Linked DNA regions of Ovis aries. The protein of the gene in region 2 interacts with the protein of the main gene of each other region in a pairwise test. Links are inferred from orthologs where the notes say so. Each region holds a gene or a part of one and is shown on either strand. Other genes may lie near its edges. The genes, in order: SCNM1, CBY2, MMAB, CEP44, SYCE1, LMO1 and KIFC3.

Region 1 (4,274 bases), on a different chromosome or scaffold from region 2:
CTCCTTCTGACAGACTTATTAATAGGGCACCAGGCTGCATGCAGCTGACGCTTGGCATGACTGTGGGAGAAGGTGGGGGAGGGGTCAGAAGTGTGGGGAGCTGTGTACCTTGCAGAGAAGAATTGGCTGGGCTGAGAATGAACAGATCTGAAATCCTGAAACAAGGAACCAGACTCAGGAGAAGCTGGGCTCCCAGCGCCGGCTGTAGTTTATTTGTGAAATGAATGGGGAACGAGGATGTCAGTCCAAGGGGAGATCAGGGGGTTCCTCCTCATCAGAGTCAAACTCAACATTTTCATCTTTTACCCATCGACCTCGTCCATCTGGGATCCATCCAGAGCTGGAAACACCAGAAAATAGAACTGGTCAGGAAAGGAAGTTTATTAAATTAAGAAAAGCATGTGTGCGAGTGCTCTGTCATGTCCAACTCTGTGACCCCATGGACTGTAGCCTGCCAGGCTCCTCTGTCCATGGGATTTCCCAGGCAAGAATACTGGAATGGGTTGCCATTTCCTTCTCCAGTTGGGAATCTTCCCAACTCGGGTCGAACCTGCCTCTTGTGCACTATAGGATTCTTTACTGCTGAGCCTCCTGGGAAGCCCCAATAGTTCTTTCTATCTAACTGTAGTTAATTTCCTGAACTATTTGAAAAAAAAGTTACATATGTAAGGAGTCTTTGTGCATGCATGCACGTGTGCTAAGTTGCTTCAAGAGGAACTGACTCTGTGACCCTATGGAATGTAGCCCGCCAGGATTCTCCAGGTAAGAATACTGGAGTGGGTTGCCATGCCCTCCTCCAGGGGATCTTCCTGATCCAGAAATCGAACCTGCATCTCCTGCATTGGCAGATGTCTTCTTTACCACTGTGCCACCTGGGAAGCCCCGGGGGATAAGTAAAAACACTTGAGAAGCTCTGAAACAAGGAGGGTCAGAGATAAAAGGGAAAAACTGAGGAAAAATTCTGCATACTCACCTTCGAAGGGTGAGGTAATGATCCAGGGCCCGTCTTCTTGTGGGGCTCATAGGTGCGGGGGATGAGACAGTGGCTGACTCCTTGGTCTGTGAGCCAGCCTCAGGCTCAGGTTCTCTACTGATCTTCCCACCTTGGGGTTCAGCCTCTGCGGGTGGCAAAGGGGGACGAGAGACAGAGGGACGAGGGGCTTCCGGTCTGGACAGAGAAGAATCGAAGTCTGTAAAAGCAGTAAAGGAAAGGGCCTAATCTCCTGTGACTCCCAACTCCTTATAGGAGTGCTTCCCAATTTTGTGTTCCTCAAGATATTAGTAAGTGTTCTGCATAAAAAGAATTCTGGAATCCAGTAAATTTAGGAAAGTCTAAATCTTTTAAGGTTTTTTTTTTATCTTATGATTTTGTAGAACCCTTAAAATACACTAATTTTTAATCAAATAGGATTACAAAGCACTTTTTTAGTTACAAAAATCTTTTTCCTGAAATACAAGTTAACACCCCCAGAACACTTAGTATGTCTCAGATTACAATTAGGAAAATAATCACTTTAGAGCTATCTATCTCTTGTCCCTCCCTACCTCTGGCTTTCCCATCCCACTAACCTGTACTTCCGGCGGCAGCAACTGTTATAGTGAGGAGCTCTGTGCAGAGCACTCTGAGTGATAAGTCGAGTCTGGGTTAAGAGAGGAGCCTGGCATGGAGACAGCAGAGTCAGAGCCTTCAGAGCCAGAAATAAGCCAAAGTCCTTTAGCCTAAGGTGTGCAGCACAGTCCTGCCTGGAACACAACTTCCCCTCTCTGATTACCTCTGCTGTGGTCTCTTCTCTCCTGAGTTCATTATGCTGTCTTGGATTCTGCTCTGTGCCCTTTCCTGCTGGCTTCTTGCCATAGAAAAGCTGCAGGCCTGAGGAGAAAGGGGAAGAGGATTAAAAGCAGAGCACCAAGGGTGGTCTGAAGAGATTTTAAGGGTTTACTCTATTGTCTGTCTTTTCCCAAACTTACTGGACAGATGTTTTTTGCCTGCACGGTGGGCAGTCAGCATGGCCAGAGTGTCCAGGACGGGTCGGTGGGGACAGATGGCACAAGCAAAGCTGGGGAGTAAGAAAGATAATTGGTCCCTGGGGAGTGGAGTCTTGGTCATAGGTCCCACCCCGTCCAAGCATTCATTTCCAAAGCCCAACTCCCAAGTCTCCCAGTCTCCATCACCCACATCCCTGTTACTCACTCCCAGCCAAAGAATCCTAGATACTCCCGCTCTCCTCCTTAATAACAAAAGTTCTTGAGTCTCTAACTTCAAAACCCTTAAACTTGATCCACTCCTCGCTCTCACCGTCCATCCCGTAGCATCAGCGCCTCATCCTCTGGGATGTAGCTGGCAAGCAGGTCCCCGACCCTTCGTTTCTGCAGGAGACAGGGGAAGAAGTCCGCACGGGATCAGCTGGATATGAGGGAAGGATAAAAGGGAAATGATAGAGACGAGGACTGAAAGGGAATAAAGACCATGGGAGAACACACATCTGCGGTGAAAAAGGGGTCACCACCACCTCTAGTCTTTTGGTTCCCTCCACTCCGCCCCCCAGTTGTTGCCACAGCAACAAAACAGCTCCTTTACAGCTTTCAGAGGGCAGGTGAAGCTGCTTCGGAAGCACTCCTCTCCGCATACTTTGAGCACATTGAGCTGACTCCAATCGTCTCCTTCCCTCTTGAAAGACATCAAGACTGTGAGCCCCAGAAATCAAAAACTCTATCCAGCCGCCTTCGCCACGCCTTTCAGGCCACCGTAGCAGGAGTGGGTCGTCTCCGTTCCTTCCGGTCTCTTTCCTGCTGGCCCCCTGACTTCCGGGGGTGTGCTTCCACGAATGCACTGCGCGATCCCGGAAGCCAGCTTCTAGCCGGCCGAGGGGGACTGTATTTCTTATGGTGCCCTGCGACCTCACCGGCGCGGGGCCTTTTGGGAAATGAAGTCTTTTTTCAAAGAGCTTGCCGCCGGGCTGGATCCAGGCCCTTTCGTCTTGGCAGATTCGAGGCGTTTGGAATGACAAGAACCTAGATGAGGAGCCCGAATTTGAGGGTGTGACTGATTTGGTTTGGAGAATACCTTTGAGGATCTCTGACGGAGAAAGAGTGCTACAGACTCTGGCTATTGTCACGCCCTTCGCCTGCAACCACAGCCCATATAGGGTGGGCCTGATCTGTTCCTGACCCTAGAGGGCTAACCCCGGGACCGGGCGGAGTCGGGGTATTGGGGAGCCTGGAGGTCGGGCTGCCAGACGTAGGGGCAAATTGAGCTGCGTGTTAAGGAGGCTGCTAGAGTTCAAAGGTCAGGGGTCAACGTAGCGAGTTGTTGTGGGGAGTCGAAAGTCGGAGGGGTGCTAAGGAAAGACTCAGGTAGGGACTGAATAGTCGGAGTACAGATTTGTGGGAAGGGGACTTGCAGGGAGGAGAAGCTACGGCTGACAAGTCGCGTATCGCCGGGGGAGGCGGGGAGACTTAAGAGAGAAGACTGAAAGAGAGGAATCCTCTAAGATACCCATTCTCGGACCGCGAGCCCGTCATTATCGGTCACTTGGCCGGGCCTCCCGGGGTTGTAACCTCAGTGTCCGCAGGGTGAGGAGATGGCTTCTCCCTCTAGACAGGCCCCCCTCGGGGGGTCAGGACTGCTTCAAGGGAGCCGGGCTCGTTCTTATGGAAGCCTGGTGCAGTCTGCCTGCTCCCCGGTGAGGGAAAGACGCCTGGAGCATCAGTTGGCGCCCGGAGACACCCTGGCTGGACTAGCACTCAAATACGGGGTGACGGTGAGTCTTCCAGGATTGGGACGTAGACACCCAATTAGAAGAGGTTTATTCCTCATGAGAATGTATGGCCCTCTAGGCAACTTCCCCTGAAATTTTCTTAATTGTGTTTATATTAACTAATTGTGATAAATTGACTGTGATAAAGGTTTGGTCACCTTTATCTTTTTGTTTCCTCATCTCAGTGTTGCACTGTCTGGTGGGAACAAATCCTGTCCCATTATCCCAACGGAGGGGAGCAGCATTTATTTTTTAGGCCAGTCACTGTACTAAAGACTTTACATCCATTAGCTCATTTGATCCTCACATCCCTATCAAGCATATAATTATTGTGCCCTTTTTACAGATGAAGAAACTGAGACTTAGATTGGTTAACCAGTGTGACCAAGGTCAAATAACTAATAAGTGTTGACGTGAAAATTGAAACAGGTCTGTCTGATTCCAAAGCCTGTACTGTTAACTACACAGAAATATTTTAATTGAGAATGACTAAACATTCCAGAGAAGGTAATGGCA
Region 2 (4,238 bases):
GGTCCAGTGTCTGGGCTATTGTGTGTCACACCGACCCTGACCGGCCACGTGGACACAACCAGATGCCTGGCCAGCAGGCCCCTCATTCCCACCTGTGATGCTCAGAGAGAGACCATGAGCCTTGAAAAAGACCGTATTGTTTTGTGATGTCACCTCTGGAATGTTCTGAGTGTTTTGGTGACCAACTTCTGCACAGGACCTATACCTGGCACCTAACGTTGGTATGGCTTTTTCCTTGAGCTAGAAATAGTAATCTTAGGAAAGCTAGTAGCTAAAGACTTTCAGAAGGCTTTGTCATCAACTATATAGACCTGTCTTAATTTCTGTTCAGAGATTGATGAAGCATCTTATCAGATACCATCTTCACATTCTCGTAAGGTACATAATTAACAGGAGGGGAGAAGTGAATAGTAGGAAGTCCTGTTTTGCAGTTGAGCAGCTGAGGCTCAGACGATGGGCTGGAAAACAGAAATCTGCCTATTTTCTCTTTTCCACAGCACTCGAGGCCAAATTTTACAAGAAAAAGAGATACCAGATCTGAAAGCCTAGAAATTCCCATCAATGTGGTTCTACCTCAGGTAGGGATGAACACTGAAGGCTGTAACCTCTCAGTTTTGGCCAGAATAATCCCCCTCTTTCCAAGCTCTAGCAAGATACTGCAGGTCAGTGGTAGCCAGGGCCTCAGATTCTAGCTGAAGGTCAGCTGCCAGCCAGCTGTGTGCCAGGGGCAGTCCACTTAGTCACTTGGAGTCTTGGGTTTCCGGTCAGATGAGAGGGTGGGTTCATTGATCTGGTAAGACCATCCAGCCCGACCACTAGAAGTTTCTGTGACAATCTTTTCAAAATTAGAGCGTTTGGAGCTTCTTTACCACCAGGGGGCACTAGTGGTAAAGAAACCGCCTGCCAATGCAAAAGACGCAAGAGACCCGGGTTCGATCCCTGGGTGGGGAAGATCCCCTGGAGGAGGAAATGGCAACCCACTCCAGAATTCTTGCCTGGAGAATCCCACGGACAGAGGAGCCTAACGGGCTACAGTCCAGAGGGTTGCAGAGTCGGACACGACTGAAGCGACTTAGCACACACCCACATTGTGCACTACTCTGGACTTCTGGGTAGAGGATTAGAACTGAGACTTGGGATCAAGGGCACAGGCCCGAACCCATACACCTGGGACATGGACCGAGGGGTCTGGGCTCCTGTGGAGGGGTCAGGAGAATTAGGGCCTGCCGTGTACCAGGGACAGAGCGTAAGGGGGATGAGCCTGGGGGGGTCAGAATGGAGGCCAGCGCACGGGCGACAGGCTGGACATTCTCAGTTCTCCTTCTGCTAAGCAGCCGTTTCCCGGGAGGGGTCCTCCTGATTGGATTGTTTCTGCTGCTATGTCACAAAGGGGGCAGCCTTGCTTCTCCAGAGTCACCTAAGGCCCTGGGGGAAGATCATGGCGGTGCAACCAGAGGGGCTGAAATGTAGGGTGGAGGAATCCAACGCAGAGGTAACGATCTGAAAGCTCTGTCCAGGGATGTGTGGGGAGAGGGTTGACTCCCCAGTGGGGTCTTGGAGGCATGAAATTAGAGTTCAACCTGCTGCCTGTGCCACACACGGGCAGATGAGCGTCCAGGGTACTCTGGAGGCGCACAAGTCCTGAGTCAGGCTCCAGACCCCTGCCAGGATGGGCTGGGCACACTCTGGGGGAAGCGTGCTCAGTCGCACCCGACTCTTTGCCACCCCGTGGACTGTGGCCCCGCCAGGCTCCTCTGTCCATGGGATTCTCCAGGCAAGAGTACTGGAGTGGGTTGCCATTTCCTTCTCTCTGGGGATAAAGGGGCACCTCTGCGTTTAGATGATCTGAGCGGGCTGTGAGAGGGACCAGTGTGCCGACTGGACCTCCCCAAAGGAGAGGCTGACGGCTGGTGGCAGGGGAAGGGTTGATCTGGGTCACACGGGGAAGAAAGGAGAGTGACTGCGCACTGGATTGGTCACATCGGGGCCCTGGGCCATGCAGAGCGAGGGAGAGATTGCAAAGGACCGGGAACTGGGAACCTCAGCAAGTCCACTAGTAATGGCGGAGCTGGAGTTAGAGGCTTGAAGCCAGGTCAGTGCCCACGTCCTCTGCCACAAGCTGGGCACATGCCGCCTGCTTCTTCCCTGGCTTTTAGGACAGGGTGCCTCCCCACCCCCCATCTTAACTGCCAAGCCCCTGCACGAATCTGCCACATTCTGCTCCGTTCTGGTTCTGAGACTGAGTCCATTTGTTTTGAGAAGAAATTGCAGGAGCAGCTCTGTGTCTCCAGAAAGTGCCTCTGCACCCCCCCAGCTCCCAACCCTGCCTGAACGCTTCTCATTTGCATTGCGAATGTCTGTGATTCTCTATTTGTTATCACCCTTAGGTCTTTTCGGGTCTTATTGATTTCCAGTTTTCCTTCCTCACAGTAAATATTTGTGTTTTCTAATCTGTTTCTCTCCAGGGCATTAACTTGCCAGCCTTCCCTAGTTACTTCCTTCCCAAGTTCTCTGCACGCCGCCCCTCCACCTCCCTTGCCCCCCCCCCCCCCCTTGCCCCCCCCACCTCCCTTGCCCCCGCCCCCCCCCCATTCCTTTTCTACCTACCGGTTCTCCCCAGCACTCCCATTTTCCCAGTGAGCACTCTCTGTGAATCTCATAAAGGCACTGTTTCCTGCGAGATTGTTAATGAAGGCTCCTCACCAGGTCAGAATAGGGTCCCATCACCCCTCCAGGGCCCCGCCTTGTCCCTCTCTGTTGCCTTTTTTCAATCCCCTTTGTTTGGGTTTGTTCTTTGGAAGCTATGGAATCTGTGGCCGACAATGCCTGTAGCTCTGCCAGTTTGAAAAAGTGTTAGGAGGATTTCGGAAGATTCTGTGTTAAACAATTAGCTAAAACTACCACATACGATGAGAGAGGACATCTTTAGCCTCTTTGCTGTTAGTATTAGGATTCTATCCAAATCAATTACATTGACCTGCAAATTATCCTCTTATCTGTTAGCGTTTATTAAAACCAACATTGACTTTCTCATGGCACTTGGGAGCGGAGTTGATTTAAGCATATGCTCGTGATACTCAGCCTTGTCACCTGGTCTGAAAATTAGTGGCAGATCTGGAGAATCCTAGGGACAGAGGAGCCTGGTGGGCTGCCATCTATGGGGTTGCACAGAGTTGGACACGACTGAAGTGACTTAGCAGCAGTAGCAGCAGCAGCAGCTGCCTTTCCTTCCAGCATATTCTGGGTCTCAGCTTCCCCAGGCTTGAAACGTAACCCCAGAGGGCTGAATATTCTCTGACCATAACCCTCAGTAATGCTGGCAAAAGCAGGGCTTTAAAAACACTTGGTCAACAGACTTGGAGTCTGCTGAGGGCATTTGGACGTCTCTTCTGGTCTGTGGAAGTGCAGAGAATCTCAGTGCCTGGCAACTAAACTGGCAAGTCACTGTCCAGTTCTGTTCCCCAACGCTTCAGATGGGAGGCCAGCAACCTCAAAAGCTCCATCCCCGAAGGTCCTATTCCTTAGATACCCCTTAGCTTCAGAAAGATGCTTTGGTCTTATTACCTCCCCTCTGCCCTTAGCCCTACCCCCGTTTCTAGCCACCATCCCTCCTGTGTGGGCTCCATTTGCCACACAAAAGGCTGGTGATCTGACCGAAGCATGCAGTTGGTTATCTCATACACTTTCCTTCCAGTACCACGTGTATTTTAAAAACGGATGCTGGGGAGAAGGATGAAGAGTGAAGAGTGAAAGTGTTAGTCGCTCAGTCACGTTTGCTACTCGGCAGCCCCACGGACTGTAGCCCGCCAGGCTCCTCTGTCCATGGGATTGTCCGGGCAAGACTACTGGAGTGGGCTGCCATTCCCTTCTCCAGGGGATCTTCCGGACCCAGGGATGGAACCAGGGTCTCCTGCATTGCAGGCAGACTGAGCCACCAGGGAGGCCCAGGGCTGATGCTGAGGATGGAGCTCAGCCACAGGTGGGATTCAGGCATCTGAGCGGGAGCTCTCGGGACCCAGGGCCCTTCCTGCGTCCTTAGCACTGATGCAGCTTCTTTAGGTCACAGCCGGGAGCACTTTGCTCCCGAGAGCAGCATCTCTGGGTCACCTTCCTAACAAAGCCACGGCCACACGTCTCCCCTCCTGCTTCCTTCCTGTATCCCGTTCTTCCATGAAGAAGCCCCCCGCTTCTCCTCTCCCACCTATGAGGGCATGTCCTACATGTCAAGGAAGAAACTG
Region 3 (4,272 bases), on a different chromosome or scaffold from region 2:
TCCAGGTTCATCGAGAGCAAGCGGCCTCTAGGACTGGCTCTGGAGGGCCGCACCTCAGTCGCACCTGCTAATGACCCACTCATACCCAACCTCAAGGTCAATCCTGTCCTCCTTACCCGATGGCTGAACTTAATTCATCTGTAGTTCCCACGGCTTCAAACACCTGGTCATCTTTGGGTCTTCTTTCTCCAGTGAAGGTGCTAGAAAACCCTGTGAGAAATATTTTGCTCCCAAAATTAAAGAGGTTTTTTTTTAAGCTTGATATACTCTTCTTTCCCCCCAATATTTATTGATTTATTTGGCTGCACTGAGTCTTAGTTGCAGCATGTGGGATCTAGTTCCCTGATCAGGGATTGGACCCAGGCCCCCTGCATTGAGAGTGCAGAGTCTTAGCCACTGGACCACCAGGGAAGTCCCCTGTTCTGACAGATTTTAAATTATCAAAACAATATATGCTTGTTACAAAAGATAACAGGATAGGATAAAAGTATGTACGGGAAACAATGAAAGCCTGCCTGTTCATTCCTCTCTCTCACTATTCAATCTCTCTCTCAGGTAACAGTCCAAGGTGTAACCTTTCCCATTGCCTTTCTGAACACACATATAAACACACACACACACTTTCATCCAACGGATCCCAACTCTGGATTGTTCTGCAACTTGCTTTTGTCATTCAATTTATCTGGGGCATCTTTCATTTGCATCACACTTGGGTGATGCCTACTGAGATCTGTCACATACTCTAATGTCTGCAAAGAATATGGAAGAACTTTCAGAGGGAATCTGCCATCTCTTCCTTTTCATTTTTCGCCTGTCCCCACCCTACCTTTGTCTCCTGTTTTGGTGTAGATCTTGGGGACCTTGGGAGTCTTCGAGGAAGGCTGTGGCCTAAGGAGAAATACACATCAAGAGAGGCTGAGTGAGGATATATGGCATATCCAGTGAGACGCCTTCTTCAGTGGGTCAGTTTGCTACCTGTACCCTTAGTGTCAGAACTCACTCCTTCAGCTTGCATCTCTTGAAATTTCTCCCCTCTGTTCCTCTTAGTTTTAAGCCCTTTGTGGGCCAGTTCTGTGTCTTGTCACACCTGTACCTGCAGAGTAGCTGATGTACTACATTGCTCAATGAAGACACTCAATAAATATTTGCTGAAAGAATTTATTGATCACTTTCCTAGTCTCTGCACTGTGCTAAGTGAATTATTGGCACTATCTCCTGGTATTATCCTTGGAATATTCCCAAGCCCCAAAGGAAGGCACTATCTATGACGTTCATTTTATGTCTGAGGAATCTGTAGCTCACAGGATGAGACTCACCTTTCTAGGTCACCCAGGAAAGAAGCAGTAGGGCTGGATTCTGGCCCAAGACTTATTCGGCAACCCCAAAGCATCACTTCTGTTCTACCAAGCCAGGGACTTTCTTTTTTAAAAATATTTACTTTTATTTATTTGCATGCACTGGATCTTTAGTTGGGCACCTGGTTTCTTTCATCTTCACCGTAGCATGTGGAATCTTTAGTTGCAGCATGTGGGATCTAGGGATGGAACCCAGGGCCCCTGCATTGGAAGATTGGTCTCAGCTACTGGTAAAGAATCCTCCTGCAATGCTGGAGACCTGGGTTCAATTATGGGGTCGGGAAGATCCCTTGGAGAAGGGAAAGGCTACCCATTCCAGTAGTCTGGCCTGGAGAATTCCATGGACTGCATAGTCCATGGGGTCGCAAAGAGTCAGACAAAACTGAGTGACTTTCACTTTCACTGGAAAACCAGGGAAGTCCCAAGCCAAGGGCTCTTGAAAGGGAAAAAAAAACCCTTCACACTATGAAGCTTCAAGTATACTCTGAAATGGAGAATTGCCAAAATAGGGTTCAAAAAGAGGCATTTTCAAATAGCAACACCTTTAATACAGACTTCAACATTAAAATGTGACATTAAAAGGTTATTAGAGGTTGAATTACTGGATCTATAAAACATATTGCTGCTGCTGCTAAGTCGCTTCAGTCGTGTCCAATTCTGTGCGACCCCATAAGACGGCAGCCTACCAGGCTCCCCCGTCCCTGGGATTCTCCAGGCAAGAACACTGGAGTGGGTTGCCATTTCCTTCTCCAATGCATGAAAGTGAAAAGTGAAAGGGAAGTCACTCAGTAGTGTCCGACTCTTCCCGACCCCATGGACTGCACCCTTCCAGGCTCCTCCACCCATGGGATTTTCCAGGCAAGAGTACTGGAGTGAGTCAGGTTTGAGGTCCAGGATGGGGTGCTAGTTTCAAGGTATGTGATGAGAGCCATCTTTACAACGCGCTGGTGTCTCTCTGTGTCTTGACTGCTTTGCAGACAGGTTAAGATCCGAACTGAGGACCCCTACTGATTGTGAGGTCAAGCAAGATGACCCTCTTGGTTCACGTGGGCTATGCCCGGTCCTGACGGATGCTGGGTTTCGTTTGGACTTGTCTCGTGCTAAGAAATCTTGGTCTCTGGTTTCCCCGGAGCCCAAGTTGCCATGGTGACGTCAGGATTAAAGAGGAGGTCACCTGGCGATTGCTGCGGTGACCTCCCATCGGTGTGATGTAAACACGGCGACGACAACACAACTCAGGTCAGGTGTCTGAGTTAACTTCTCAGCCAGGTACTCACCTGTCCCCGTCTTCCACGCCCTGGGGGCCACGGCTCTGGAAACGGGGACACAATAGCTTGCGGGCTCCAAGGCACTCGCGCAAGCCAAGGCGACCTCCCAGGCCCCACACAGCCATGCCCCAGGCCGCTCGTCGAGGGCTGACCCCGCCAGCTTGCCGTCCAGGTTTCGAGGCGACTCCACCTACCGCCGGCCGCGCCACCGCTCAGCCTCATCTTCTATTGGTCCGTGGCTCTCTCCCCAGGGCGGGACACTCCCAGGGACTTGCTTCCCATTGGTCCAGGGAAGGATTTGGGCGGGGAAATCCGTGAGGACTTGGTGAACGGCAGCTATTGGCCAATGCTCAAGCCAATTGGTAAAGGGAACTCTCGGCTCGTACGCTCTGATTGGCTTGGCGGAAGGAAGAAGCCGCCTCACCTCGGGTACCCGCGAGCTCTGGTATGGAGTCTTGGAGCGGCCCAGCTTCGGGAGCAAGCACCTGAGGCGACAGGTGAGAGGTTGGGGTTGCGAGGCGAGGTGGCGCGAAGGCCGAGGCCGAGACCCAGAACGACCCCGGACTGGGCTCCCGGCCTCTCAGGCTGTTTCCTCAGCTCTGAAAATCCGTCCTCAGGAGCCGGCGACCTGGAAACTGACAGGATTTTGAATCGCGGACAAGCAGTAGGTCTCCTCACTTGGAGTCTGAGTTTCCCTCCCTGAGGAACTGGGGTCATGGTAGCACTTAGCTCATAGTTCGGTTCAGCTCTCACGCTACTGAAGTAAAGCCTTAAATAGATAGTTTTTTTCTTTTCTGTTTTTTAAGTCGCTCAGTCGTGTCCGACCCTTTGCGACCCCATGGACTGTAGCCTGCCAGGCTCCTCTATCCATGGGATTCTCCAGGGAAGAACACTGGAGTGGGTAGCCAGTCCCTTCTCTGGGGGATCTTCCTGACCCAGGGATCGAACCCGGGTCTCTTGCATTCAGGCGGATTCCTTACCGTCTGAGCCATCAGGGTAGCTTTGCATTATTCATAAAAATCTAAAATGTGCACACGCACACCCAGCAAGTCACTTTCTAGGACTCTGTCTTGCAGAGATCCTGACTTAAGTGTGCAAAAAAAAAAAGGGGGGTGGGGAGGTGTAACAGCTGTTTATCTGCAACTTGTTTCTAATTGTGAAACGTTAGAAACAGCCTGAAAATGCCCAGGAAAAAAATTTCTTTCCAGTCCATAATTTCATTTAAATTTCTACCTTTAATAGTAGTACTAATAAAAGCTGGAACCAAAAACAGAGTCAGTAATACCGAGCTATCAGTAACTGACTGTGGTGTGCCAGACACTGCTAAGTGTTTTGCTTGCGTTATTTAGTTTAACTTTCTCAGAAACCATTAAAGTAAATAGTTACTGTCCCTGTGTAACTTTTAAGGTTCGTGGCTATTTGATGGCTGTGTGGCTAGCTAAGATGACATCACTGGGGAGCAGTGGGTTCGAACCCAGATTTTTTGGAGAATTATTATTATTATTGCTTGGAGAATCCCAGGGACGGGGGAGCCTGGTGGCCTGCCGTCTATGGGGTCGCACAGAGTCGGACACGACTGAAGCGACTTAGCAGCAGCAGCAGGCTGACTGCTGCCCCGCACTGCTTTTGGGGCACACAGCAAGTGCTGA
Region 4 (3,500 bases), on a different chromosome or scaffold from region 2:
ATTTATTTATACTTTACTCATAATATAACTCATATTATGAATTGGGGAAAAATAACTCCCTGAATCTTACTCAAATATACTCAAATCCTATATCTAATGACACATTGATTATTTGTCTGATAGTCTATCCTTCAGTCTCGATGGGTTTGCCCCATGCGGAAGACAGCTGAAAGCATATTCACCATTATAAAATAATATTATGGTTTCATTTTCCCTTGGAGATAGAAAAACTATCCCTAAATGCATTGAACTCATTCAGCCACAGCTTCTTGAAGCAGACAAGGACAGGGAAAGTATCGGCCAACGAATAGAAAATATTCAGAACACCATCCCCAAACCAGATTACAGATTTAAGGACTATCAACCATTGGCTAACCTATATTCCTGGTACAAAAATATAAATGTATATAAATCCAGACCTAGAACTAAAGCGAAGGCCTTTAGGAAGATTAGATACATAATTAAGAGTAAATTTTCACCATCACAAGAGGCAGAATTTGGGATTAGAAATATAAAGAGAAAACATGTTCAACTGTACATTTCTACCCTCTTCTTCTAACTTTAGGAATGTTCCCAGAAAATACACGATATGTATTGTGAAAAATCCTTACACTCTACTGTTTGAATAGAATGTTTTTCTAGATGTTAGGCAGAAAAGTGAACCTTGTGTGTTGGATCAGTCAGGCAGGTAATTCTTAACGCGACACACTGTCTTTGTACTGTCCCACCTTTCCTGAAGTCACATATCTGCCAGTGACATCAATGCCCACAGGTTCAGTAGATGTCTTCTCAGCACTTGAACAAGGTTCTGACTTGGCAGAACTGGTCTTTTTTCTTTGTTGTGATGGAGTCTGAAAAAAAAAGGTATTAAGATTTCATAAACTATGTGCTTCCCTGGTGGCTCAGATTTTAAAGCGTCTGCCTGGAATGCAGGAGACCCGGGTTTGATCCCTGGGTCGGGAAGATCCCCTGGAGAAGGAAACGGCAACCCACTTCAGTACTCTTGCCTGGAGAATCCCATGGAGGGAGGAGCCTGTTAGGCTACAGTCCATGGGGTTGCAAAGAGTTGGACATGACTGAGCAACTTCACTTTCTTTCTTTCTTTCTTTCTTTCTTTCTTTCTAAACTATGTGGGAAGGTAGCATATATATATTAAATTCCTCTATCATTTAAATTTTCATGAAATTTGACTGCCAAATACTGCAAGTCTGAGACCACATGTTTTTTGAAAACTACAAAGTGATGAAAATGCATTATGTTAGTTTGTTATATTAGTTTAGGACTAGTAGCTTCAAGTCACAAATGTGTCAAAACAAATGACTTGTATTTAAAGCAAACATCTGGCATTGTAAGGCCACTCAAATCTGTGAGTAGCACAGTAATTGTACTGTGCATTAATTTGCTGACTAGGTATTGATTTTATATATTAAAATATAGCCACTTAACATAAGTTAAAAATCTATTAATAAAATTACCTTCTCAAGACTACTCAACTCCTTGTGCTTTTTCATCACGCAATTCAAAATATCACATATAATTTGGATTTTCCATTCTGCAAATCCACACTGGATAAACTGCTTTTTTGTCAAGATTGGTTTATAATTAAATTGATCACGAAGAAGCTGTAAAGAGGAAATAATAGACCAGCATAATGGTTGGGAGCAATTTCTTTCAAAAATCTAAAATGGTAAGTGACCAGGGATGTACTACCATTTTTAAGAGATGGGAGAGGATTAAGCCACTATAGAAAGGGCACTAAAGAGATTTGTAGGGGCGCTGAGATCGGATCAAGTAGGAAACAGGTAGAAAACAGGTAGCTAGGAATGTACCAGATAGCTATCCAGAAAGATGGAAAAGATAATCATCAAAAGCTTCAAATATTCTCATAGGAACTAGAAAAACTCCTTTGCTTGCTAATACCAGGTATCAGAAAACCATAGTTCTCTTTGTTTATAGAAATTATGACAATTTTTAGACAAGTCAGTAGGCTACTCAGTTTCAATTTCTCATGTGTAAAATGAAAGAAACAGATTAAAAGAGTAATTTCCAAAATCTCTTCTGTGTAACCTCAGATTTCCTAGAAGTCCTTTTAGGCTGCCATGGATGCTTTCTGAGGTAAGAAGCAAAGAAAGGGAAGATTAAACAGAGACTACATATAAAAGCTACCCTCTCATCAAACTCTTTACTTAAAAAAGAAAAAAAAAGCAATTTGATTTGATAAATTGGCTTTTACTATTTTTTTAAGGTTACATAAATCACAGTACATAAATAAAATTAATGATACAAAGTAGGGCTTTGAAAAATCAAACAGAGATTAAGTCCAGGATACATGTAGTACAAGTGTAGATGCCAAAGTAGATAATAAGACACGGTTTCAGATCTCAAGGAACACAAGTTGTTCTAATATAAGTTGCAGTTCCTTCTTACAAACAACTAAATTAATAAATTAACTCACAATTCTATGAACCACAAATTTTACTTAATAAAACTACATTCACTCTAACTTCTGCCAGTATACCAAACTTTACTAAAAACAGACATAAAATAGACAAATGATAATCAATGATAAATGTTTACCAGTCATCATATTTATTAGAGTATGAAACATAAAAGCAAACAAATTGCATCTTGATTGTAACAGAGACTTCATTTACATAAGATAAATACATACGAAAATACTATCAACTATATATGTAAGGAGTTATAAAAATATTGATCTAAAAAAATCATTCAATGACTTCTAAAAGAATTATTGTTTCATAAACTCAAAATACCTTATAGACAGTATCTATGAAGCGTAAGTCATTCTTTGCTAGGAGCTCAACATTGGAGTCGACCAGAAGTTCTGCTACATAGGGTGAGTATGAGGTAAGGGAATAGCTGATGATGGGCAGAGAGGCTGCTGTATCTCCCTTTACCAAACTGTATGGAAAAAAGAGAAAAAAGATTTTTAATATGCTTAATTCCACAATGAAAAGCTGTTAAAAACTCATAATTTAACACAACAGCCATAATAATTAGGGGATGCACGAGACCCTTCAGATTCCACCCCCTACTCTAAACCAGTGCAGCCAAATTACTATGAAACAAAAACTCTTCAGCATCAATACCAACAGTCTGTTTATCACAGTATTTATTGATTTTCCAAAGACTGGCCTTACTTGATCTAGTCTATTTTCTCCTACCAATACAGCAAATGTACCTCCTTAGAGTACGCCACTAGGCTTTATGGTTTTGCAAATATTCTCATATCACCTCACTTACTCTTTATCATAAACCCCCAAGAGAAAAATACTATGAATTCTAAGTTACAGATGAGGATACCAGGACTGGAAAAGGTATCACTGCTAACAAGGCTGACCAGTTTACGATCTTCCCCTGACATCAGGTGCATTTGGAATCTACCTTGTTAGATTATGCTAATTCTTCTAGCCTAGACAAGTATGTCTTTCTCTTCAGTTATGTGTCATTCATTCTGTATGAATAAATCCATCCAATCT
Region 5 (3,935 bases), on a different chromosome or scaffold from region 2:
TAATAGACTAGGCAGTGAGCTGCACCTTTATTTTTTTCTTTATTGCATATTAAAAGGTAAGGCACAGAGTGGGAAAGCAGAATATATCTGTTGAACAAGTCAACTAATATATTGTTAATAAAAAAAATCAAGGGTACCACTGCCTATGTTATTATATGAGCCCCCTTTTTTACTTATTTTAAAAAATTTCAAATTTACTTAAAAGTTGCAGAAATAGAACACACAGCTCTATATGCCATTCACCCCAGTTTTACATTTGCTAATAATCATAAACTTTAAGAATAAGTTGCAGATACAATTCGTCATTGCCCTCAAATACCCCAGTGTGAAGTTCTGAAGTACAAGGACATGCTCCTGTGTAGTAACAACAGTACAACAATTAAAACAGAGACTAGCAGTGAGAGATATTAACATGTGATCATCAAGTGGTACTTTAAAAATGTCTCCTACTTTCACTTTTATAAATTAAAAGTTCCACAAGTATCAGTTACATAGTCCTAGTAGAAAAAAACAAATATTAAGGTTAAAAACGTTCCTTCACCTTTGCATTGCCCTTAGAAACTAGATTGGAGAAGGCAATGGCAATCCACTCCAGCACTCTTCCCTGGAAAAGCTCATGGACAGAGGAGCCTGGTGGGCTGCAGTCCTTAGGGTTGCCAAGAGTCGGACACGACTGAGTGGCTTCACTTTCCCTTTTCACTTTTATGCACTGGAGAAGGAAATGGCAACCCACTCCAGTGTTCTGGCCTGGAGAATCCTGGGGATGGGGGAGCCTGGGGGGCTGCCGTCTATGGGGTCACACAGAATTGGACACGACTGAAGCGACTGAGCAGCAGCAGAAACTAGATCCCTCCATCAGAGTCATCAATTAGGAAAGCAGCCTCCAGACATCTTTCTGTGCAAACTACACAGTATTGCAATTTTTCTATCTTGCTTTACTCTCATAAAAATGTTTTGAAGATCATATTGTATCTGTATGTCTAATACTTTCAACGTTGACTTGGTTAAGTGTATTTTAATTCTACTTCCTCTTCATTTTAGAAATCCACTGCACAGGTATATCCCAGTGTGCATGGGATTTAGCTATTCCCTTCCCAAGTTTTCCTACCACCATTTAAGCTCCAGTCACTATCCGATCCATGCATCTATGTATGTCTTGGGTGATCCTATAGGAATGTGACCCAAAAGGGGAAAAGATAATTAAAATGTTAAAATTTGTGCCAGAAGGACTACTGCAAAGCCTTCACCCTTTCTTCCTCTCGTCAGAGTATGACATGGTCTGTATCTTTACACCACCGTTAGGGCTAGATAGCACCACTGCCCCCTTTTTAGAAAAAACCCAGTAGACTGAGAATGGAACCTTGATGTCTCATTTTCTCTCACTGCTGTAGGATGAATGTTTGTGTCCCTCCATTTTTCATTTGTTGACATCCTAAAGTCTGATGAGATGGTATCAGAGGGTGGGGCCTATGGGAGGTGATTAGGTCATGAGGCTAGAGCCCTAATGAATGAGATTAGCACCTTATAAGAGACCCCAGAGAGCTCCCTTGCCCATTCTGCTGACACAGATGGACATCTAAGATTCAAGAAACTGGTCCTCACCACAGGCAAGAAATGGTGTTTCACCAGTTATAAGACACTGGTGAAGTCAACTGCATCTAAATATGCAAGCTTAATGAACTTGAAACAAAGATACTAAGAGGTTTCTTTAGCACAGTGGCGAACACAGTAGGTGCTTAAGAAAAGAGATCTATATACATCTGTTCTGTTTTTCTTTTTGTTCTTAGCTGAGGATTGTTACTGAATGCCACTCCTCCCTGCTCCAAGCAAGCTTTCTGTGCTAAGTTTATTTCAGTATTTAAACCTTCATTTTATTTATTAAAGAAAAGCCACAAAGCACCTGTCATGTACCAAAACTGCACTACTGCCTGCAGCTGCGACGGACATGGCCAAGACGGGTTCATGAGAGCATCTCAACACGGGGAGACAGGGAGGCCACGCAGAGCAGAGGCAAGCTGAGGGATGCGTGTTCCTTGCACAGTTCTCTCCCCTTTTGTGTTAACACCCAGGAGCATGTCCTTCGGGGGTGGACAAGCCTGGGAATATTTTTTATCTTTCTTCTCTCTGCTAGGCTGTTATTTCAGAAAACTTTATAACTGTAATGAGCTGCCATGCCTCTCCTTTCCCGGTGAGGTGGGAGCCACTGTTCAATAGGTCAGAGTCAGGAAGAAAAAAAACGTAACGCTCTGCGGGGCGGTCTGGATCCTGGTTTGGGGGAGGGGGAATCTACTGTTGAGGACCATCATGGAACAACAGGGAAATTCAGGGGTTCGGTGCTGTGAGATGAGAGAAATGGGACAGACTCCTTCCCTCGGGTGACACGGGCCGAGAACAAGTCCCTTTCTGTTGCAGGAGATGCCTGTGGGACGCTCAGGATCAGACTGAAAGGATGCCCTCTGCCTACTTTAACCTACTCAAGCACAGCAGATGGGGCCAAAGGAAGTGAGTGCACGTGGGGCACGGGCCTTCTGTGAGTCCACCCGGCAGAGCCGCCAAGATCCTTCCCATGGGGCTGATGGCCATTTTTCCTCACGCCCGCCCCGACTCTGAGGAAGAGGCGCCCGCGTGCGCTCCCTGCCTGCCCAGCCCTCAACAGCCGTGGTCGGGGCCGCCGCCAGGCCCAGCTCTACCTCTGGCCTCGTCAGTCGGGCCCACGGCTCCCGCCGCTTCCGCACTCGACGATCCCGGCCGCCCAGCCATGTCCTCTCAGCTCGCCGGCGCCGGCGCCTCCTCTGGGATTGGACGGAAGCCGCGCCAGGGGCGGGGCGTCCTCAGCACGCCTGCGCAGTGCACCTCTGCGCCGTACGTACCCTCCTTCCAGCCGGCAGCTGGGGTGGCGGTTGGGCAAGCGGCGGTGCGCGCGCTTGAGTCCACCCAGAACAGATTCCGTGCAGAGCAGGTGTGGGGGGCGCGCACGGATCTTCCAGGCTGGCGATTGGCTGGTTGAGGAGCTGGCGACCTGCTAATGACAGAGGTCTCACGAGGGACTGCCCCATGTGGCGTCGCCCACCTTGCGAGGAGGGCACCTGAACCTGGTGGTGGGGAGCCGAGTCTCTGCACATGTTGAGAGGTTGGCAGTTAACCCAAGGACTCTGGCTTTCTGGATGGAGGCCATAAATTGCCCTCCCCACCCCCTTATTGCAAAATTCAGACTTAAATTGAAGAAAGTCGGGAAAACCACTAGACCATTCAGCTATGAGCTCAATTGGATCCCTTACGATTATGCAGTGGAAGTAACAAATAGATTCAAGGGGTTAGATCTGATAGAGTGCCTGAAGAACTGTGGACAGAGGTTCCTGACATTGTACAGGAGGCAGTGATCAAGACCATCTCCAAGAAAAAGAAATGCAAAAGGGAAAAGTGGTTGTCTGAGAGGCTTTACAAATAGCTGAGAAAAGAAGAGAAGCAAAAGGCAAAGGAGAATAGAAAAGATATACCCCTCTGAATGCAGAGTTCCAAAGAATAGCAAGGAGAGATAAGAAAGCCTTCCTCAGGGATCAATGCAAAGAAATAGAGGAAAACAACAGAATGGGAAAGACTAGAGATCTCTTCAAGAAAATTAGAGATACCAAGGGGACATTTCATGCAAAGATGGGCTCGATAAAGGACAGAAATGGTATGGCCCTAACAGAAGCAGAAGATATTAAGAAGGTGACAAGAATACACAGAAGAACTATACAAAAAAGATTTCTATGACCCAGATAATCATGATGGTGTGATTACTCACCTAGAGCCAGAAATCCTGGATTCTGAAGTCAAGTGGGCCTTAGGAAGCATCGCTATCAACAAAGTGAGTCGAGGTGATGGAATTCCAGCTGAGCTATTTCTAATCCTAAAAGACGATGCTGTTAAAGTGCTGCATTCAATATGCCAGC
Region 6 (3,974 bases), on a different chromosome or scaffold from region 2:
CCTGGAACTCTGTACTGTCAAAAGAGAAAAAAAAAGCCCTTGATATTGAAGAGTGGCCTTCCTGGAGAGAAGGCAGCCTGGGCACCAGCCCCAGGGTGCTCAGAGAGAAGCAGGGTTCAGAAGGAGAGGAGATGAACACTGTATCTCTTCCTGCCTCCGGCGTTACTAAGCAAGAATCATCAATTCTGTAATGGTAGGAATCTGTTTTCACTGCTGTATCCCCATGTGCCTTAGAATAGAGCTTGGTGTATAATATGTGCTCAATAAATAGTTGTGGAATGAAAATAATAACCTTCAAGGCCATGCTGTGCTTGCTTAGATAGAAGCTGAGACAGGATCTCATTCTCTGTGAAATCAAGATGCTCTTCTGAGGGCCTGCTGGAGTAAGGGTGGTGATGGAAGACTCAACAGTGAGAAAATCTGTGCCCTGCAGAGGGTTAACTTTGCCAAACAATCCAGGAAGCAACCAGGAACCCCAGAGAGAGGAGGTAGGAAGGGAGGGTACGTGGTCAGAGAAAGAGTGCCCCTTGGGAGGGGTCCAAAATCAAGGCTGAGGGGACTGAGAGACAGGAGTAGTCCACCAGATAGTGATTGGGAATGAGGACCCTGGGGCCTGAGCAGAGCCACGCGCCGAGTTGAGGCCTAGAGGCCTCCAGGTGGCGCTGCGGAGCCGGGCAGCCGCGCGTCTCCACTCCCCATTAACTCGCGAGGGAGGGGGGCCTCGGGAAATGTGTGCATTTATTCAGTAGCAGGAGTGCAAACCTCATACATTGAGGGAGAAAGGCAGCGGGAGACGGCCGCCGAGATTCCCCCATCTCTTTGAATATAATTTTAGATTGAGATTCAGATTAAATCCGAGGGGAAAACACTTTATGAGGCTGAAAGCTGTGTCGTTGCCAGAGCCAGGGTTATGAGCTATCAAATGCAATTACATTAAGACAGATTATACTGGGCAAATTGAGCCATTTAGAAGGTGAGAATCAAAGAAACGGCTCTGATCCTCTCTTCCCACTTCTCGCTCCCTCTCCCTCTCCCTCTCCAAATTGCAGTTCGTAGTTCCTTGCAATTCTGAGGCACAAAAGTAGGTGAGACTGCTTTTGTATCTGCGAAGTGCTTCACTTCTGAATGTAATTCTAGCTGAGTGCAATCTAGGTTAAGAGCCGGACAAGCGGGTAATTAGAGTCCGCTCGCTGCCCGAGGACCGGCCGCCCCGCCGAAGCGCGCCCGGAATCGGCGCCCTTCTCCCGGCCGAGTCGAGCTGCGGCTGGACACGGAGCGCCCGAGATGATGGTGCTGGACAAGGAGGACGGTAGGTGGCGGGCGGGGGTCCCAATGCCCCGCGCCCCTGCGCCCCCGCCACGGCGCGCGGGAACACACACGCCGGGACACGGGCGCGCACACGCCGGGCTGTGCTGGGCTGGCGGTCCCCAAGGGGCTTGGGACTGGGGTGGGGAGGCAAGGGAGCTCTGGGCTGCGCCCCCCCGGGGCCGGGCCAGGCCGAACCGGACCACGGGCGGGCGAGCTGTGCTCCGGCCGTGTGATGCTCTGCGGGGCCGCGTGGAGGCTCTGGCTGCCCCCGGATCTCGGCGCGGAGGCGGTTCGCGTAGAGCGTTTCGTCTTTGCGGCTGCTCCTCTCACCGCAGCCATCACCCTCGCGCCGCACGCGTAACCCGAGAGTCGCAGAGCGCCGAGCAAATCAGTGGCTTCGGGAAATCGGACTCCAGAGCTTGCGGCCGGCTGGCGCGCAGAAAGAAGGTGGCCACCGCGGTGCCCGTCAGGCCAGGGGGAAAGCCGGCCGGACCTTCGGGGACACAGCTGCCCGAAAGCTCGTTGAGATAAAGGGACGCCTCCTGTGCTGCCCACTGTCTCCCTGCGGGCTCTTGAGCTCGGAGGCAGGAGTTTGGCCCAGAGGAAGAAAGTGTCCCGCTCCTGGCCAGTAGCACGCGTGCCGGAGCCACCAGGACCTACCCTGATCAAGAGCTTCACTGCGCCTGAGAGGTCAGAACAGCGGGGCCCGCGGTGGCTAGAAGCCACTAGCAGGGGGTCTCACACACCCAAAGCCTTCCTGACTGTGACTGTCCCGCAGTAATTGTCCTGGTATGTGCAGGAGAGGTCGGAGAACCCAGCCCCCTTGAGGGTAAAACCAGTGGGTGTCCTGTGACCCAGGGGCAGCCCTCGGGGTCGGGAGATTGGCCCTGCCCTGGAGGTGAGGGTTACCTGGTGGGTTAGTGTTGTCGGGAGACATGAATGTAATTGTTAGCACCCAGGCCCCAGCTGCGTTGTACTGCTGGTGAGGACCTGAGAAGAGGGGTTTCCTGTGAGTCAGCCGGAGTCCTCTTTGAGTGACATCAGCTGACCTCTCCCAGTGAGTATGGAGGTCTGTGCCCTCTGCCCTCCAGGTCGGTGGTGTTCCTGACCTGGTCACTTGGTGGAAATCTGAAGTTAAGTGACTTAAGGTCGCACAGGATGTTCGCTTTGCTGCCACTGTGTGCCGATGCCCCTAGCCTCCCTTCCACCCACTGAGACCTCAGGCAGGAAGAGCCATTTAAAATATCTGGCCCAGGGGTGGCATGTTGGGGAGCTCTGTGGCTGGTCAGCCCATTTCTGGGCATGTGTGTAGAAAGAGAGGGAGGAGGGCTAAATGCTCAGGCCAAAAGAATCCATTTGCCAGGGTTTGACTAGGGTGAGACACCCACTTCCTGTGTGTTGTTCTTTCTTTGTGGGCCCCTCCCCTGGAGCCCCAGGTGGGCCATTAGAGGGCTGGGCTGGTGCAGGTGTGTACAAATTGGAAAGGAGAAGAGGTCTGGGGTGAGGCCAGACAAGGAAGAAGGAGTCCTTGCTTTAGTTCCTTTCTCATCGACTCCCCGTGTTATCTTGGACCAGTCGTGCCCATCTCAAGACCTCACTTTTCCTCTTGGTAAAGTGAGGAGCCAGGGCAGCCAGGTCCTTCCTTGGTGTTTGGAGGTGCTCCCACCATGGGGAGCATGTGAAAATTGGGGTATGTCTTCAGCCCAGATTGTTTGGCACTGACTCCCTAGGCCCAAGCCAGAAATCCAGAAGACCCAGGCCCTGTACACAGGTGGCCTCAAGCAGGAAGACTGGCTTCCAGCTGACAAGATAACACTGCCACCAGCACCAGCTCTTGTACCCTGTGCAGGCACCCCAGAATGCCTCGACTCTGTGTACTAAAGGTTTCTAGATGAGCCCTAAATGGAAATGGTTCTTTGGAGGTCATATCAGCCAGTCTCCTGCCTACCCACCCTGGTATATGTGTTTCCCTTAGTGTTCCCCAGACCTGTAGAGAAGAGCTGGCTCTGCCCTAAGGTCCCCAGCCTGCCCAGTCTTAACGATGTGGTGCCCAGTAGTGCTGAGATCACTGAGCTCTGGGACCCCTCACAGCACAAGGAAGAAGACTGGCTTAAGTCCTGAGGAGTCATTTGATTCGTGTCCTGAGCATGTCTTTCAAAAGCAGCCTTTTTGCTCATAAATCCACCCTCCATTCCCTGTTGGAGTCTAGCATCTCCTGGTTCCAGGAAACCTTGAAGGTGGTACCTTCAGCTAGATGGAGGGAGAAAGGCTCTAGACCCATTCACATCCTCACCTCCCCCCCACCCCAAACCTGCTGCCTAATTCCTTCCTCACACTTAATGCTCTCCCAGCAGGTGGCCGTCTGGGCTGGGTGGCAGCAGTGGTCCCCAGGGCCCCGAGGAGTGTGTTCCTCCCGGCTGTGGACTGCACCCTTTGTCTGGCTGCAGCGGGGAACTCAGGCTCCTATTAACCACCCCCAACGCCTTTTCTCCACCTGACAGCATCTTGTGGGAAGAAGCCCAGGCTCCTCTGGTTGAAGTCAGGTCTGCCAGCTGCCGAGGACCAAAGCTCTTGCTCTGCTGGGCTGCAGGGCTTTCATGTTGCACTTCTGAAAGATAATAAAATATCAATCGCTTTGCCGTAGCAACGGGTTTAAGAGACTTTCT
Region 7 (4,231 bases), on a different chromosome or scaffold from region 2:
CTGAAGCAACAGACAGGTGAAGAGTCCTCAGAGGTGACCGGGAGTGAGAAGGAGGGGATGGTCAATTACCAGGGAACCATGCCACGGAGAGATCCAATTGGAAGAAAGGTCAATGGAGCAGAACAGAGGGCAGACCTGGGAAAGTCTAAGGTGGGGTGGGGGTGGCCAGAGGAAGCTGCCACTTCCTTCTCTTTGGAGAAGTTGGCTAGGATGGGAAGGAGAGGATGTGGAATTTAGAACAGGAGAGATCTGCACATGCTGGGTCAATAGAGGAACAGGAACAACTGAAGCATTGAGAGGCAAGAGAAGGAAGACCCCAAGGATGGGTGGCCTGAGGTTGGCAGAGCTGAGCCCTGGAAGAATGCCAGGCTCTTGGCTAGAGAGTCCTGGCCTCTACCTTCCTTGATTAAGGAAGACACCTTGGAGGAGGAATCTCCTGGGTGCCCTCTCCCTGGCAGGGGTCAGGACTGCTGGCCAAAGGGCAGAGTGGACATTAATGCTGCCTGTGGGTAGCTCCGCTGAGGAAATGGAGATGGACGAGTGTGGAGTGGAGGGAACTGGGAGATGTAGCCAGACGTCCCCTTCTCCAGGCTACTCAGCAAAGAGCTGGGCACACAATCTGCCCTGAGGATCAGCTGCCCAGTGGGTAAAGAAGGAGGGAGTGAGACGGGCTCCACCTGCATGCTGAGCTGCTGGAAGGTGAGATGGCAAAGGGCACTGAAGGTCGATTCCATGGTTGAGGGAGACCTTCATGTGCTCTGTGCTTAGTTGTGTTGGACTCTGAGACCCTTTGGACTGTAGCCCGCCAGGCTCCTCTGTCCGTGGGAATTCTCCAGGCAAGAATACTGGAGTGGGTTACCATTTCCTTCTCCAGGGGATCATCCCTACCCAGGGCTCATCCCAACCCAGGGATCGAACCTGTGTCTCCTGCATTGCAGGCAGATTCTATATGCGCTGAGCCATCAGGGAAGCCCTGAGAAGACTTTTAAGGAGGTCAGCTAAGCCTGAGGGGCAGGGACAGAAGGACACATTATTTCCTGGCTTTCAGGAAGGGAAGTTGGGAGGCAGGAAGATATCAGGAAGAAAGAGGAAGGGTGTGTGCAAGATCCTGGAGAGGAAAAAGTAGCTGAATTAGCAGACTGTCAGATGTGAGAGTCAAAAGCATCAAGGACTTTCAAACAGCCCAAGACTGGAGACACAAAAACCTAGGTCTTAGGACGGGGTGATGGGGGCACAGCGTGGTTATGACCAAAAGCTAGTTCAGAGCCCGGCTGCACCACTTAGTAGATGTGCAACCCTGGGAGAATGACTTTGTCTCTAAGCCCCAGTATCTCCATCTTTGAAATGGGAGAACTCTACCTTAATAGGGTTGATGTAAAGTTTGGATGACACATATACACAACATTAAGAACAATACTGACATATACAAAGAACCCTGCCCCTCCCCCCCGCAAATTTAATGTTTCAGTGACCTATATCCAGCGGTGGGTGAACGCAGGGGCAGGCTGCAGGAGAGCCCCATCAGCCTCTCCAGGTTTAGGCCAGGGTGGCAGAGGTGCAGCCCTCTTCCCCCAGACCAGGGTTGCTGCAATGATTGGGGAATAGACTTGACAACTGCCCAGAGACCACTGCTTGGGGAAACATAGTCTTCGTCTCCCTGAGAGAGGGGGCAGAAGGTCTGGGAGGGTGGACAGGGGCTGGACCTCCCCTGAGCAGTCACACATCCTAGGTTTTGCAGGTCAACCCAGATTTCAAAGCCTCTGTCCCTTGGTGCCCAGAGGGAAAGCAGAACGCATTACCCCCACATCCCTTAAGTCCAGTCACTGCAAATACAGGGCCCCATTCTCAGACTGCATTCCTCACAAATGACTCTTTGGCCAAGGAGACGGCTACTTTTATCAAGGGCACAGGGAACAGCCTGGGCCAGCAGAGTTGCTGGCTCAGCCTCAGGAGGACAGAAAGCCAGAGAAGGCGAAAGGGCAGGTGTGGCCAGGACCCCCAACCTTGAGACAAATGTGTGTGTGTGTGGGGGGGGGGGGTGCTGATGACAAATGGTACTTGAGAATTTAAATACAGCTTCCTCTTTAAAATCTGCCAGGACCAGGCCCTTCACTGCGCCAGAGTTCCGCTCTAACTCACAACAGGGGGCTGACAGAGGTGGCTTCGGGCTGGCCCTCCCAGCTGGGAACCCCTCCCCACCAGGCTGCAGCTGTCAAAGGCTCAATTTCCCCACTGCCCAGGGGGACGCCGGCCCAGGCCCTCGTTCCTAACCTGCCGCTAGCCCACCCCATCCCGGCCCTGCGAAGGGGAAAGCCAACTGCCCAGAGGACCTACGCGGTGGGAGGGCTCGAAACTGCAGCGTTCGAGGGAGCCTTGCGGACCCGGGGACTTCGGCCCGGGGAGGGGGCGGCGCTGACCGGCACGCGGTTCCCTGGCAATCTCCGGCTTTCCCGGGCCATTGAAATCGGAAAGGGGGTCCCGAGGCTGCTCGCATTCCAGGGGACATGTCGCCCCCATGCTCTGATCGGCTCTGGCTGGACAGCGTGGGGGGCGGGGGTGGGGGCGGGATAGCGCAGGGCTGGGTCTCCCGGGCCCGGCCCTCCCCGCGCCCCACCTCGGGATTGGGCAGGGGGATCCCGGACGCGACACCCCGAACGACGGGCTGGGCGGAACCCGAGCGCCCAGCCCTCCCTCTTCCCGCCCGAGCCCCGGACTCACCGGCCTGGCGGAGGCAGGATCCCGGCGTCGCCGCAGCGCCAGGGGCTCGGCCCGGCCCGGCCCGCCGGCGGGAGGCAGCTCCACGCCACCGCCTCCTTGGCCCGCCCCGCTCCCGCCCCGCTCCGGCCCCTCCCGCACACTTTCCACAGGAAATGATTAACTCGGGCCGCGGCGCGTTCCCATGGCAACCGGCTCAGACCCTGGCGGGGGGCGGCGGCACGCGCGCGCGCTCCCGCGTGCACACACACAGAGACTCACACTCTCACGCGGGGCCGCCGGCTCTGCTCAGACCTTTCTTCTGGGTCTCCCGGCGCTCCGCACACGCCCGTGCACACGTGCGCGCTCACCCCAGACGCACACAAGCCGTCCTACGTGCTCACATACAATACACGCGGCTCTCACAGGTTTGCACACACGCTCTAGTGAGTCCACATGAACACATTCACAGTTCCCACACACATCCCGACGTTCGTTCCTACGTGTATGCTTTGCACTTAAACTGACATTCTCATCCACACCTCCTCAAACCCTAGTACAAAACTTTTGCACACACTAGTTACTACTACTAACACACAATTCTCACAAGTGCTCCCTTGCCACGCTTCACAGTTTCTCACAATCTGTAGTATACTTTTTTCTAAAACTTTCTAGCACACACACACTAGCTAGTATGTGTGCACACTTGCACATTCTCACACACTTCCAATGTGCACTCACATTCCTGTACGGAGTTCAGACTTTCCCCCTTGCTTTCCCACAAATGCTGTACATGCTTCTTCAGGTACTCTTGAACTCTTCCTCACATTTCACAGAGCAACATTCCTATGCTGCTAACCCCAGTACAGACTTTCATGGGCTTCCCAGGTGGCTCAGCTGGTGAAGAATCCACCTGCCAAGGCAAGAGACTTGGGTTCGATCCCAGGTCCAGGAAGAGCCCCTGGAGGAGGAGATGGCAACCCACTTCAGTATTCTTGCCTGGGAAACCCCGCGGACAGACGAGCCTGGCGGGTTACACTCCATGGGATTGCAAAAGAGTCAGACTTGACTTAGCAACTAAACAACACACGCTTTAGTGAGCACACGTGCCCATGCATGCACTGTCACACATCAGCACACGCGTTTTCACACGTGCATTCTCACTAGCTCTAGTAGGAGCACACAGGCCAGGTTGCCTCCCTAGCCAGGGCACCACCTGCTGCCCCCTGCTCCTGCCTGGCCCTGTTCCCCTCTCATACCCCACCAAGAGATAGATGTCTTGCAGAGCAGGGAAGCTGTTTGGGATTTTTAAAGGTAAAATATTCCTTTAATCTCCAGTGAAAACACATTCAGAATGCCAGCTTGGAGCAGACAGCAGCTCCTGGTGTAGGCCCAGACGGCCTTCCTCAGAGGATGTCCCAGAAGCAGCCTGGGGGAGGCAGGGAGCCTGCCAGCCAAGGAGAGCCAGCTGACCCAGAGGAGCCACTCTGTTCTTTGTCTCCCAAACAGAGGCGGCATTTTATTCCAGAGTCAGCAG

Evidence for each region.
Region 1: the proteins of CBY2 (region 2) and SCNM1 interact in binary tests that used the Homo sapiens proteins (3 or more experiments, as listed by UniProt). The two-hybrid records come from large-scale screens. The link is inferred for Ovis aries from reciprocal best matches to the Homo sapiens genes CBY2 and SCNM1.
Region 3: the proteins of CBY2 (region 2) and MMAB interact in binary tests that used the Homo sapiens proteins (3 or more experiments, as listed by UniProt). The two-hybrid records come from large-scale screens. The link is inferred for Ovis aries from reciprocal best matches to the Homo sapiens genes CBY2 and MMAB.
Region 4: the proteins of CBY2 (region 2) and CEP44 interact in binary tests that used the Homo sapiens proteins (3 or more experiments, as listed by UniProt). The two-hybrid records come from large-scale screens. The link is inferred for Ovis aries from reciprocal best matches to the Homo sapiens genes CBY2 and CEP44.
Region 5: the proteins of CBY2 (region 2) and SYCE1 interact in binary tests that used the Homo sapiens proteins (3 or more experiments, as listed by UniProt). The two-hybrid records come from large-scale screens. The link is inferred for Ovis aries from reciprocal best matches to the Homo sapiens genes CBY2 and SYCE1.
Region 6: the proteins of CBY2 (region 2) and LMO1 interact in binary tests that used the Homo sapiens proteins (3 or more experiments, as listed by UniProt). The two-hybrid records come from large-scale screens. The link is inferred for Ovis aries from reciprocal best matches to the Homo sapiens genes CBY2 and LMO1.
Region 7: the proteins of CBY2 (region 2) and KIFC3 interact in binary tests that used the Homo sapiens proteins (3 or more experiments, as listed by UniProt). The two-hybrid records come from large-scale screens. The link is inferred for Ovis aries from reciprocal best matches to the Homo sapiens genes CBY2 and KIFC3.

The regions. Positions count from the first base shown.
Region 1 is NC_056054.1:101,063,636-101,067,909, reverse strand, and holds SCNM1 (sodium channel modifier 1), read right to left. Parts: upstream 2,801-4,274; 5' UTR 2,681-2,800; coding exon 2,579-2,680; intron 2,405-2,578; exon of another isoform or gene 2,368-2,404; coding exon 2,297-2,367; intron 2,058-2,296; coding exon 1,969-2,057; intron 1,871-1,968; coding exon 1,773-1,870; intron 1,659-1,772; coding exon 1,570-1,658; intron 1,169-1,569; coding exon 974-1,168; intron 341-973; coding exon 241-340; 3' UTR 186-240; downstream 1-185. Other genes in the region: LYSMD1 (lysM and putative peptidoglycan-binding domain-containing protein 1), read left to right, coding at 3,582-3,761. UniProt on the Homo sapiens protein: As a component of the minor spliceosome, involved in the splicing of U12-type introns in pre-mRNAs. Plays a role in the regulation of primary cilia length and Hedgehog signaling.
Region 2 is NC_056063.1:16,145,755-16,149,992, forward strand, and holds the start of CBY2 (protein chibby homolog 2), read left to right. Parts: upstream 1-1,438; coding exon 1,439-1,492; intron 1,493-4,238.
Region 3 is NC_056070.1:63,770,031-63,774,302, reverse strand, and holds the start of MMAB (corrinoid adenosyltransferase MMAB), read right to left. Parts: upstream 2,801-4,272; 5' UTR 2,749-2,800; coding exon 2,633-2,748; intron 889-2,632; coding exon 827-888; intron 211-826; coding exon 117-210; intron 1-116. UniProt on the Homo sapiens protein: Converts cob(I)alamin to adenosylcobalamin (adenosylcob(III)alamin), a coenzyme for methylmalonyl-CoA mutase, therefore participates in the final step of the vitamin B12 conversion.
Region 4 is NC_056055.1:106,518,428-106,521,927, forward strand, and holds part of CEP44 (centrosomal protein of 44 kDa), read right to left. Parts: intron 2,923-3,500; coding exon 2,775-2,922; intron 1,623-2,774; coding exon 1,476-1,622; intron 852-1,475; coding exon 729-851; intron 1-728. UniProt on the Homo sapiens protein: Centriole-enriched microtubule-binding protein involved in centriole biogenesis. In collaboration with CEP295 and POC1B, is required for the centriole-to-centrosome conversion by ensuring the formation of bona fide centriole wall.
Region 5 is NC_056075.1:51,476,078-51,480,012, forward strand, and holds the start of SYCE1 (synaptonemal complex central element protein 1), read right to left. Parts: upstream 2,801-3,935; 5' UTR 2,761-2,800; coding exon 2,691-2,760; intron 1-2,690. UniProt on the Homo sapiens protein: Major component of the transverse central element of synaptonemal complexes (SCS), formed between homologous chromosomes during meiotic prophase. Requires SYCP1 in order to be incorporated into the central element.
Region 6 is NC_056068.1:43,996,652-44,000,625, forward strand, and holds the start of LMO1 (rhombotin-1), read left to right. Parts: upstream 1-1,174; 5' UTR 1,175-1,284; coding exon 1,285-1,309; intron 1,310-3,974. UniProt on the Homo sapiens protein: May be involved in gene regulation within neural lineage cells potentially by direct DNA binding or by binding to other transcription factors.
Region 7 is NC_056067.1:25,344,597-25,348,827, forward strand, and holds the start of KIFC3 (kinesin-like protein KIFC3), read right to left. Parts: upstream 2,801-4,231; 5' UTR 2,518-2,800; coding exon of another isoform or gene 2,507-2,517; coding exon 2,335-2,506; intron 1-2,334. UniProt on the Homo sapiens protein: Minus-end microtubule-dependent motor protein. Involved in apically targeted transport. Required for zonula adherens maintenance.